3 linked regions of the Schizosaccharomyces pombe genome follow. Changing the gene in region 2 together with the main gene of any one other region gives a genetic interaction. Each region holds a gene or a part of one and is shown on either strand. Other genes may lie near its edges.

Region 1 (6,015 bases), on a different chromosome or scaffold from region 2:
TCCATCTTGCGATTTTGAATGGTAACATAGGTATGCAAAAAAACTCTCTAAACCGAATTCGTTTATCCTATTTTAAGCTCTGAGGAAGCATGATTCCATGACCGAAATATTTGAGACTAAATTGACAAAACTTGACAGTCGAATACTTAGTCATCAAGAGAAGCCTTTTCTTTGGTAGAAAAGTTGAAGAGAAATATACAAAAGCGTTATAATAATTGTTAAATTTTGAGTCAATCAATTAGTTAAATCGTCCAACTAGAAACTCTTTAAGGGAATATTGGCTGAAATAAATTTAAAGAACCTTTATCCATTCCCCTAATGAACGCTATAAAAATCATTTATTACATTATCGAACGTCTACGGCCATACCTAGGTGAAAACACCAGTTCCCGTCCGATCACTGCAGTTAAGCGTCTGAGGGCCTCGTTAGTACTATGGTTGGAGACAACATGGGAATCCGGGGTGCTGTAGGCTCCTTTTTTTTAATCAGTTAGTTGAATTCATTTCTAGTTATTATTTTTCATTCTTGATTGCAGACGCTATCCAGTATTTCCATAGTTATCGTTTACACAAGGAAACTTATATGAGACTGTGAAAGTCAAAAGGACTATACGTTAAAATGATTGTCAATTCAGCTTGTTTATGATACTTAAAATATTGAATTGCTAATATCCATAAAATGAAATAACGAAAATTTCTATCATACTCAGCGAATCGCAACTGTATATGTGTATGTACAGTTTTCTGTTCAATAATTCAACACTCGTCAATTGAAGCCTTTAATTCCTTTAAGAGGGTAATTAGAAACCAAGCTAAAACAATTGCTTCTAATTGAGAACCATTAAAACGGGTTTAATCTAGATAAGACAAAAGGAAAGATACAATAAAGTTAGAAGTAAAATTGTGTTAACAGTTATGCACGTTATGTATTCATTAAAAAATGCAACTGCCTATTTTTTTTATCTTTTGTTTTTTTTTTTTTGGAAAAGGATTTGGTCAAATCAGCATGATTTGATCATATAAAAAAAGGATGCAATGTGACCATGGGAAAAAGGGTTAACTTTCAGTTTCATTTGCTTTAATAGTAAATATGTTCAGTAAGGTAGACCAACTAGGAGAAAAGAATAAGGGTAAATTAAAATATCGACCTTTTTAAAATTCAGGTTTGAGTAGTTTCGAAAGAAAGCCATCATTACATGTCTCCATCGTCACTAGGGAAAATGAAGTTATCAGCGGGGAGTAAAAAGCCAAAACCCTTCGCATCATTGAAAAGTGCCTCTAGTGAGGCATTGATATTTTCATCATTCCAAAGATTTTGTAGGTTGATTTGATTATGATAATCAGCATCTCTAGGGAAGAAAGGCACCTGCGTCGAATAAGCTGGTTCGGTAGCATTAAGCCTTGATTGATATACCTCGCTTTGTTCAGCAAATGCCCGCAAGTTAGTTATGACATCCGTACTTCCTTTTAAAAGTGGAAATCTGTCGGTAACAAAATTCAAAATGTCAATAGCCGTATTCAGTTGTTCGATCGTTTGTTCAGACGGGTTGATTAGAAGATGCACCAGAATGATAAAAGAGGCGGCATGACATGAATGGTAATCCATAAATGAATAGACAGATAGAAATTTGTGCATTCTTAGTAGTACAAGGAGGTCGACAATGTGCAAAGCGGATGAATAGCAGTATGAAATTAACTTATCAGTAAGAAGCCTAGCTCCCTCATCCGTCTTACTATTCATCGTTCTTTCACGAAGCCGGTGTAGTAAGAACGGTCGGCCCATGGCAATTCGAACAATATGATAAGCTAGATGCAAATGAACGATACCTCTGTAAGACCTGCTATCTGGGCCAATGTTTTGTATTTCTAGATCAGGAGACAGTTGTTGGCGCCATGCCTCAATTTCGTTTACAATCTCTTTAATGGTAGCTGCTTTTAAGTTCGCCTTTCCATGTAGCGAGGAATACCACATGTCATAGACTTTATTAGTTAGAAGGGAAATTTTAATAGCTAAGGTGAAGGTCCGGAAGCTGGCAATGAAGTTTTGCGAATCTAAACTTTCACGGTATTCTGGAAAATGAATATCAATTTCGGAACGCACAAGACTCTCGGGCCTGCCCAGAGAAATACCTATTTTTCTAAAAGTTAAACGTTAGCATAAAATAATGAGGAGGAATAATAAAAAATTCTCTTCTTCTTCCCAGACATGAATCTTGGGAAGTTTTCAACAGCCTTACCTTTCCATGCAATATACACTCCAGAAAAGCCGTTTACGAAGTTCAGCAACATCTCCGGAAAATTGAGCATTCGCAGACTTTTTGTGCATACCATTGGCAACAGCAGCTCTCATAGCTATACCAAAGTACATGTATACAACTTCGTGTGCCAATGTTGGAGACAAATACATACCGGCTAGGAAGAAAGACTGTACTGTTTCCAACGACGATTCACTGATGACTTTGGGAAAAAGAAGTTTGGCGTTTTGGTAAAACTGAGAGCCAGGATAAGTCCAACGATCGTGATTTTCATCAGAAAGGAACTCTGGATGGCGAATGTAGGAGAATAGACTGCCCATGGCCATGCTCAGAAGAAGCATACACACAAAACCACCATCTTTTGATTGAAAGGAAGTTGGATCATCGAAAAGATGATGGACTTTTGCAGCAAACAGCTTGGTATTATAATAAAAATGGTTGTTGTCACTAGAAAATTGCCAAAATGTCATAAGTAAATAAAAAGTGATATCCTTTGGGGGTAATGCATGGATTAAAGAGGCGACAGTATTATCGGCGGGATCTAAAATATCTTCAAATGTTTTATTTCCTTTCTATTGAGAAAAACGGGTTAGTAAAGAACAGTAAAATCGATGATGCCCCACAACATAGCAAGGGTATGAAATGAAGTAGATGAATCCATCAATACATACGTTAGTGAGTTTATGCTGCACCTGAAATTCCCTGCCCTGGCAAATGATCTCGTGCACGCGAGCGACGAAGCTTTCGTTAGAGCCGGCATCTTCGTAATATGTCTGTGTCTCATTCAAAGTCACTTGTTGATAGCTTCCAAGTTCGATGTCGGTAAGTACTTTATCAGGATAGGTTTGAAGGCTTTCACTAAGCTCCGCAATCTTTGCTTCCAAGCTGGGCAAATCCAAGCTCATACTTGGCATGAGTTTAGAAAGGATGGTCTCCATATGACTGAGTCTCTGAAGATTGAGAGAAATTTCGTCTTTATTCATAAGCAATCTAGGAGGAGTTTCTATTACGCATTCTAATCCTTTTTTAAGACATCTGCCACAGGGAAAGTTACCGACGCATTTGATTTTATGCTTTTTGCATTCCACACAACTAATATTAGCATTTGAATGAATAGACAAAAAAAAAGTAGAAAAAATAAAACCAAAAAAAAATTGTAAAGTAAGGAAATAAAGAAACAACTACATAATTCAATAGATCAACTAAATAATACGAAAACAATAAATATAGTAATAACAAACAAATCAAGCAACTTTTGGTTGGAATGGCGGCTGATCGAACGCGTACAAACTAAACGTCTTTCAACTCGACCAAAACAACCAGATGCATATTTATTTACATACGCAATAGCTTTTCGAATCCTTTTTGAAGGTGGAATTCGCTCGCCTCTTCTTCTTTTCGGTTTTGAGCCTCCAGCGCTCTTCTTCCCAGTTTCTGCTGTGCTCGCGTTCGCGTTCGCGCTGCTGCTGCCAACAACAACATTACCACCCCTTTCTTCTTCCTCTAGTTGATCCTCCAACTCCATAGCTTCGCTTCTACTCATGCCACTACGACTCCTATCCTCATGGGGCTGCATCCTAGCATGCATGCAGTGAGAATGCAGCGGAACTCAAGCATTTACTATTCTAAGCTATTTATCCAAACAGAAAACCCTCGATTTTTGTGTATGGAATTCACTCCAGCAACTCCAGCTCCAGTTCTCCTCGCTCTCGGAGATCTCGGGGCCCATCCGTTAACAGTGGTTTGCACGTTTGCGTACTCGCCCATTATCTTGGAAATGGCGGCATGCCTAGCAATCCTATCCTGATAGCCCCACGGCTTCCACCGCATTTCCACAATCACTGTGCAATTTTTAGAGAAATATCACTAGCCTTTCTAAATCCGAAATAATGACCTTGATGGATGACACTATCATTTCTTCTTGGTATACCCAGTGTCTTAGTGTATTATATTTCCGGTGGCTATAGCCGACTTAGACATCTATTGCTATCTTGGTGGAATCATATCTAAGCATGGCGAGCGATCAGTACTGTTTTACACTAGTATATGTGGTAAGTGGTGATAAGCTGCGCTATGAGTGCTTGGACGAAAAATTTAAAAAATGAGTTGGGAGCTCGATGTTAGCGTTGGGATGAGGAAAAATCAACGTATGAATGATATGCGTCTTGATTTCCCCATTTCTCATCAAGAAATTCCTGCAAAGTTAGAAATGCAAGACCCAATGTTGGCTCGACTGCTTAGGAAGCGTTTCATTCCATCATTTATTTATTTTATCAAGTATTTACGGTTTTTACGCCCCTGATATCCGATCTTGGATGTTTGTTTAAACGATGAAACTTGACGAATAGATAGGAGACTGACGCATCAACTTTGCCAATTTACCTAACATTATCAAGTTCTCCTATATCTCCGGGCTCAGAAGATCTTTGGAGGAACAATGGGGTAGCACGATATCGGGTATTTAGTGCTAAAACCAGGTAGAGTTGGTAGGTATTGCAATGTTTAATGATAGGTGCAACAGTAGAATTTTTGGTATGTAGGAAAATGTGCGATGCAGTGAACATACTCGAGATTACAAACCGGGTACACCAACCGGAGGGTGGATGCCAGATAACCAAGTCAAGAGCTTGTCTGCCTGGTTTAAAAGGAAGGGATCACCTTGCAATGCTACAAGCCAATTTCATTAGTATATCGATCCTCAATAAGAAAAACAACCCGACTACACTCATTATAAGTGTTGGCGAAAATAGCTTTTACTAAATTTCATTCTCTTTTCCCTCCTCTAATTTTAATTCTTTTTTCTTTTTTCCCTTTCCTTTCTCTACTACTTTTAGACATACTACCATAATCCCGCTTAGATATTTAAGCGCCTAGCGAGAAAATGTCAAGCATCAGTATAGACGAAAAGCTGAAAGATCCCGAGAGTGTCCAAAATAAGGAAATTCTCGATGTCGACGTTGGCGATCTCTCGCCAAAAGGCGTGGATGCTGCTTTCAATTACGCCCTTGATGTCGACTACGATGAGATCGATCCAGAAACGGAGCGTAGATTGGTACGCAAAATCGATTGCACAATCTTCCCCGTCATGTGTCTAGTATACTGCATCCAATTTTTGGACAAAACTTCAAATTCCTATGCCGTTATCATGGGTCTCAAAGAAGACTTGAAGATGGAAGGTCAAATGTATAGTTGGTCAGGTACTGCTTTCTACTTGGGTTACCTTGTCTTCGAATTCCCTGCATCTCTTCTTCTTCAGCGCTTTCCTTTATCCAAGACCTTGTGTGTTTTCTTAGTCATTTGGGGTTTCTTGCTTTGCATGACCTCAGTTGCCAACTATCCTGGCTTTATCGCTCTTCGTGTGCTTCTCGGTATGATGGAATCTGCCGCCAGTCCTGGTTTCATTCTTCTCACTGCTCAATGGTACAAGCGCAGTGAACAACAACTTCGTACTTCCGTATGGGTCGCTTTTAATGGTTTGGGTCAGATCCTTGGTAGCTGCATGGCTTATGGTTTGGCCAAGAGGACCAGTCTTCCCATGAGAGGTTGGAAGCTTATTTTCATTATTTGCGGTGTCCTCGCCATTTTCTTGGGATTTGTCATTCTTGCCGTCGTTCCCGACAATCCTTTCAAAGCCTGGTTTCTCACTGAAGAAGATCGTAAGTTGGTTGTCAAGCGTCTTCGTGCCAACAAGCAAGGTGTTGGTAATAATCACTTTAAATTGTATCAGTTTAAGGAAACCATGCTTGATATTCGTACTTGG
Region 2 (4,042 bases):
GCGAATAAATTCTTAAAAGGTGATCTCCATAATAGAGACTGTGATGAGCTCTTTGCCGAGTACAAATCATGTCTTTTGAAGGCTTTGAAAACGAAAAAAATAGATCCTCTTCTTGAAGCAGCACGCAAAGAAGATTAAAGTAAGAGCATCTTTGGATATATGATTTTTAAGGTTGCTTTGAAAGATAGCAGTACCATGGAATAAAGCTCTTCTTTTAAAACGGGTGAAAAAGTGATAAGCATCTGTGCAATTGTAAGTTTATCAGAATTGTAGGTAACGAAATATCTCTGCCATGAAGCAAGTATACACTTCTAAAGGTGTTGTTTAAGAACATATGATTCGGCATATCCTTTTGCTGGCAAACCAATAATTCTCTAAAAGGGTAGTTGACTAAGATCATACTAAGTAAAATGATATGAACATCTTTTCATTGGACTCACCTTTGTAGAAAACTTGTAAGAATATACTTATAATCAAAGAATTGAATGGTATTCCTTCTTAATTAGTCTATTTTCACTTCGACATGCAAAAACATTATTTTGGCAAAAATTCGACACCAGCAGGATTTGAACCTGCGCGCGGAGACCGCAACAGATTTCTAGTCTGTCCCTTTAACCACTCAGGCATAGTGTCCAAGTCTGTCACTAAAAAATATATAACATATACATATTAACTACATCAGTCGCAGTTAAACAATAAAAATTTGAATGAATGAAAAAAAATACTGTAAATGTCAATTGATTTTTATCATTTTTAAATAAATAAAATTTGTAACTGTTAAGTCAAATTTCGAACCTCTACGTTTAGGAAAAGCTTTGCATGAATGTTCAGTATTTTCTTTATTAGTTTTGGAACTATTGTATTCAAAAGTACACTGAGTCCAGTAGTAATCAGTTCTGTTGAGAATTTCATACTATTGATTGTAATTGATATACGGTATTAAGAAGCTGAAAGTTGAAGTGCAGTCAATTTCCTTTGTAAAACATGTCTTTCATAGTTAGGTAGCAAATTGGTATATTAGAGTTTAATTGCAGATTATTAATCAAAAACAAATTTTTACCTAAAATATTATGCGTTACGCCAAATTTTGAGTCGTTAACCTAGCAATTGCACAAGGGCAAACAATAAAAACGAGTGGGTGATGGAATTAATAAGACCAGGTTTGTTTTTGCTAGCTTCTGCAGCGCAGTTTATTTATAGAAAATATTGTTATTATTTTTAGTTAATGAAAATTTGGGTTTTTTTATATATAATTTTCCTAAGAGTCGTATTTACATATATATAAACAAAAATATTAAAAATCGAAATACTTATCTCTAAAGAAATACATGTCAAAGCAAATCATTTTACAAATAAAGAAATTGCCTAAAAAAATTAAATCTCTTTCTAGCAGCCCATGAGTAATTTTATGCACACCATAGAGCACATTACTGTTTGTTTTGTTTTCTGGAGTGTACCAAGCATTTATAAATTGGTAACACAAAGCAAATACGTTCTTAAATGTAAGGTCGAAGGAAAGTGACTAGCAAGCTCAATTGTTCTTTTAGTGTATAATAGAACAGACATAATCTTCTCGAAATCTTATATGTTTAAAAGCTTTTTTTTTCTGCGTTATAAAATCATGCCTTTGTTTAAGGAAATAAATTGAGATTTTTTATTAATTTGCATTTTAAATTTGCTAGATTTTTTTTTTTTTGTTCATTCAATTGTCAAGGTCCAATGTTTACAGACGCGTAAACAAACAAATGTGACGTGGCGAAAGACGCGTATAAAAAACCCATTATTCTTCTTTTAACATTCCTTTAAATTAAGATCCCCAAAACATTTTCAAAATGGGCTCGCTACCTGATCAATCGTCTTGTGAAGAGTTTACTGATTCGCAACAGGATAAGATGACAAAACTGCTTGCTATGCAACTTGGCCCAGAGTATATTTCTCGCCGAAGTGGTCCAGGAGGAGGATCTGTTACATACTTAGAAGCATGGAAAGCAATTGAGCTCGCAAATGAAATATTTGGATTTAATGGGTGGTCTTCTTCCATTCAAGACATTCATGTCGATTATGTAAGTGTTAATTTTGCGTCAAAATTCTACGAAAAAAGTGCAAATCGTATCAATTCTTGAGCCTATATTTATTTATTTTTACTAATCATTATTAAAAGGTAGAAGAAACGAAAGAGAAAAAGTTTAATGTTGGAATCAGCGTTATTGTACGCGTTACATTAAAGGATGGCTCCTTTCATGAGGTAAACAAAACATGTCCTCAGTAATATTTCGTGATACCGGTTAAATTAATTATAGCAAATGGTATTTTTTTCGAAATAATTCATAACTTTTTCGTTCTTAACTATTCCATATCAGATTGTGGCCAATTTCTTGCTAACAAATGGTTTTTCTAGGACGTTGGATATGGATCTATAGAGAATTGTCGAGTGAAGGCATTAGCTTACGAAAAATGTAAAAAGGAAGGAACTACGGACGCATTAAAGAGAGCTCTTCGAAACTTTGGAAGTAGCATGGGTAACTGCCTTTACGACAAACGCTATATTCAAAAAATCTTGAAAATGGCACCTGCCCAGGTAATATGGAAACACATAAAATTTAAAAATAATTAAGCTGACAGAAATGCAAAATTAGGCTGAGTTCAACTACGACAACCTTTTACGCGCAAACAAAAGACCCTATGCACGGTTCGCTCAGAAAGTATCTACCCCTATAGAAAGCCATGCAAATAAAAGTGTTAAGCTAGAACATAAAAATTCAATAGAGAAGAAAATTTCCAATGTGGATAAACCTATATCAGATCTCATTGAGAATGACATTCATGAAAGTCTGCCAGCTCTGCAAAATCCCCCCATTCAAAGCCATTCAGAAACAGACCTTTACGCAGGTATAAAAAATTTATTAATGACCAAATTGAAAAACTAAACATAAAAATATAGATGAAGAACTGGACAGCATCCTTATGCATCACGAGCGCCCGCCTATTCCTGAGTCACCTAGGGTAGAAGAATTCGAGGAGTAAGACAGACCGATCAATGCGTGCGAATGCCGACTAACTAATAGATTATTAAACCAATTTGAAGGAGATGAAAAAGTTTCTGTTGACAAAATTGACGCACACGATAAAATGACCGAAGCTCAGGTTGTCAAGATTCCCCCAGTACAATTTATGAATGCACGTGTAGCAGCAGCAGAAAACCCACATATAAAGCACGAGGGAATGGCATTTCAGTTGCACAAAAAGAGTAATTCTATACTAAAATCATCTAATATAGACCACAACAGATCCATGCCTATACGACGTCCTTCGTTAACTTCAAACAACTCTGCAAACACGTTCTCAACGAAATAAAAAAAATAAAATTGAGTGAAACGTTCAATGGTATAAACTTTTAAACTGCTTGCGAAATAAATTGCTGTACAACGAACGTCTCAGTGAATTTAACTAACTATCTTTCTTCTATTGAATGCAAAATTTCGATTTTCGAGTTCATGAATCAATTTATTTTTTTAATATACTTTAAACAGAATTAATATGAATAATTAATATGAATTTTTAAGACGTTCAATTCAATTTGTGTTACCCAGTAGTTTTTTGAACTGACCTTTCACCTCTTCTTCCACTTGGTTCAAATAAGTAGATCAAAATGACAGATAAAGAGAAGAAGCCTTGTGCCATCATAGTTGTAGGAATGGCCGGTTCAGGTATGAATTTTTTTATAATTGAAAAACCAATAAAGCACTCAACGCAGCAATTTCTAATCATTTTCATGTAATAGGCAAAACCACCTTCATGCAACAACTGAATGCACACCTTCATTCAAAAAATAAACCTCCTTACATTTTAAACTTGGATCCTGCTGTTCGAAATTTACCCTATGAGGCAAATATCGATATTCGTGATACAATCAATTATAAAGAGGTTATGAAACAGTACGTTTGTCTATTCCAGAGTTACAAGATTTTGGGAAATTTTCTAATTCATTTAGATATAACTTGGGGCCAAATGGCGGTATTATGACAAGTTTAAACTTATTTGT
Region 3 (2,471 bases), on a different chromosome or scaffold from region 2:
GGATTGTTTTCAAATCACGATCAAGTGATCTTGTCATGTTTCCATTAGCCACAGACCTATAGTGTCTAACAACTCTGATTTTTATGTAACAGAGACGCTGTGAAAGTTTTATGTTTTAACTTTCTTTTACTGTCCTTTTTAGTTTGTTTGAAGGAATACACTTATTCCAATACCATCGTTTTATTGAATGAAATTATCCATAGTTTTCACTCGAAATAGTTTAATGTTAGAATTTGTTTTCTTGTTTGCCCATTCGAATACTAAAGTTTATGTCGCCAATCCTTCACTATGCTGTCGTTTCCTATACAATCGGGCGATTAACAGATATTTAGGAGAATGGGGTTTAAAAAGTCAATAGATTTTTAAATACTTCATCCAATGGTGTTTGCTCTTAAAGGAGAATGATGTATTGGTAAATAACACAAAAACGAACATTTGTGAGATGAATTTTGACCTTATGAAACAATCAAATCCAAGTTTGACCATTTCCATCATTTGCTACTTTCTTTGATTTTAATTACTACTTGGGTTATGGGGGTTCGATTACCAAAAAAAAAGGTACATTTGATCATGTTGATTACCTGCAATCATGTTTCCTTTTTGACAAAAAAAAAATTTAAAAATTGATTACCTCTATATATTTGCCAAAACCTTCGTAGGCTATTATTTCTTCAATGAATGACTTTCTAAATTTACAGTCAAGGTTTTCGATGCACCCATTATAACTGGTGCTTTCCATTGAACTAACCTTCCAGATTGGCCCTTTTGTCAAAACTATTAAAAAACTAATATTCCGTATTTTTCCTTTCTCTCTTTTTTCCTTCTTTTCAAGTGGGGCTGGAAAATCCGGCCCACAATACAATTTGTATGAAGTTAAGACTGTCATGCTGTTTTACTTTCGATATGATCGAGCTTGTTAATTTACAAGTTCTTAATAAAACGTTGTGTTTCTTTTACTTGACGATAAACTTATTTAGGATTGCTTAGACATACTTCCCCTTTGTTCGATCATCATGAAAAAAGGCCCATGTAATTATTCCCAAGTGTTTTCATATATAAAAAAGTTTTAATTTTTTTTTAAAGGGCATTGAGTCAAAGAGAAATTTTTAATTTTTAGTGAAATAGTATAAAATCCCTTTAAAGATGTCGCTTTCAAACCAATTCAGAAACTTTTGTATTCATCCCAACACTTCAACTAAGCTCTGATGCTCCTCTTACAAACAATAACATAAATTTTTACAGCGCCGCAAATGCCAAACAATGTGTGCTAAAAATTCCGGAGGCACGTTGCCAGCAGTCATTCTCATTCCGATTTTACGATAAGCAAAAAAATTGTCCAGAAGAACCGGAAGATGAACCAGCGATAATGCGATTGCTTTGACCGTATATTCCCCTTGGAGACAGAGCCGCAGTGATCCACATAAACATGGTAAATCCGTGGATCTTCTAGAAGATCTTGAGGTTTTACTGCCAATCAGCATCGACGACGATCACGTCAAATAACGAAAAAAACCCTTTTTGAGAATTGTTCCAACGTTAAGGTAACGCACTTTTTGGCATTTGGATGGCATGCATGCCAAAATCACAAAGTTTGCAGTAATTCGGGTTGCTTTGTTTTGGAAAAGTTCTCCCAGGAATCTAAAAATGTTACATATGTCTTACGACGAACTTACTGCCTATCAACTTGAGGGTAAAAGAAACGGAATGTGACCATTCATATTGCTTGGAATTGTTACTCAGACAATTGTATATAATGGCGCTCTTCATACTCAAGACGCTTCAGAATATTCCAATTCCTTTTGGGTAGAGAAATATTTGATCTTCTACTTTTTGGTAAGTAAAATTTATGATAATGGCGGAAAGAATGACAGTTTGGAGGTGATTTGATGTCGTTTGGAAAAGAGTTTTGGTGACAAGCAATTTTGTTTTGAAAATCATTTGAAGATCTTTTAATTCCTTAGCATTTATTTGACGTTGGAGTTGGCTGCAGATCTATTTAGCGAAATTGTTGTAAAAAGATCGATGTTCGATAAGTGTTCGTTAAGCGAGATAAGGAGTGGAAGTATCGAAATTTTAGACACTAATTGATTACACATTGATATTGGAGAAATTTTCGTACACTACTTAAGGCTCATTCCCCCTTGACTTTTTTGACCGATTGTTACATATTTCTTTTCCGTTTGGCTAATTATTTATTTTTTTTCATACTTTGTATATTATTGATTCTAAAAAATATCGGAGGTTAAGCTTTAGATGCGATTTTCTTTTTAACATGTCCATTCTTCGTTCTCCATTTCGTTTAATTCGATCGCCTGCTCGATTCTTTCCGTCACTCTTTCATTCCTCTTGTAATCAATCTTTTACTAATGGCTTAAAGCATCAATCAACCTCTTCGAAAGCCATGCCTGTTAGCGCATTCTACATACCTTCTTTCAACCTTTTCGGTAAAGGTTGTCTTGCTGAAGCCGCCA

What was found.
Region 1: mutations in rti1 (region 2) and SPOM_SPCC417.09C together harm fitness more than expected from each alone (negative genetic interaction), as found in Schizosaccharomyces pombe (one large-scale study listed by BioGRID).
Region 3: mutations in rti1 (region 2) and SPOM_SPAC5H10.07 together harm fitness more than expected from each alone (negative genetic interaction), as found in Schizosaccharomyces pombe (one large-scale study listed by BioGRID).

What each region holds. Positions count from the first base shown.
Region 1 is NC_003421.2:1,690,590-1,696,604, forward strand, and holds SPOM_SPCC417.09C (transcription factor), read right to left. Parts: upstream 3,996-6,015; 5' UTR 3,844-3,995; coding exon 3,497-3,843; intron 3,348-3,496; coding exon 2,927-3,347; exon of another isoform or gene 2,828-2,926; coding exon 2,238-2,827; intron 2,139-2,237; coding exon 1,193-2,138; 3' UTR 630-1,192; downstream 1-629. Other genes in the region: dipeptide transmembrane transporter Dal51, read left to right, coding at 5,137-6,015.
Region 2 is NC_003423.3:744,203-748,244, forward strand, and holds rti1 (DNA repair and recombination protein), read left to right. Parts: upstream 1-1,832; coding exon 1,833-2,063; exon of another isoform or gene 2,064-2,161; coding exon 2,162-2,245; exon of another isoform or gene 2,246-2,398; coding exon 2,399-2,578; exon of another isoform or gene 2,579-2,636; coding exon 2,637-2,889; exon of another isoform or gene 2,890-2,941; coding exon 2,942-3,020; exon of another isoform or gene 3,021-3,065; coding exon 3,066-3,354; 3' UTR 3,355-3,532; downstream 3,533-4,042. Other genes in the region: protein Mdm35, read left to right, coding at 1-138; GTPase npa3, read left to right, coding at 3,650-3,707, 3,782-3,935, 3,992-4,042. UniProt on the Schizosaccharomyces pombe protein: Active in the repair of DNA damage and in mating-type switching. Probably involved in the repair of DNA double-strands breaks. Has a role in promoting S phase completion.
Region 3 is NC_003424.3:157,618-160,088, reverse strand, and holds SPOM_SPAC5H10.07 (uncharacterized protein), read right to left. Parts: upstream 887-2,471; coding exon 617-886; downstream 1-616. Other genes in the region: alcohol dehydrogenase Adh4, read left to right, coding at 2,402-2,471.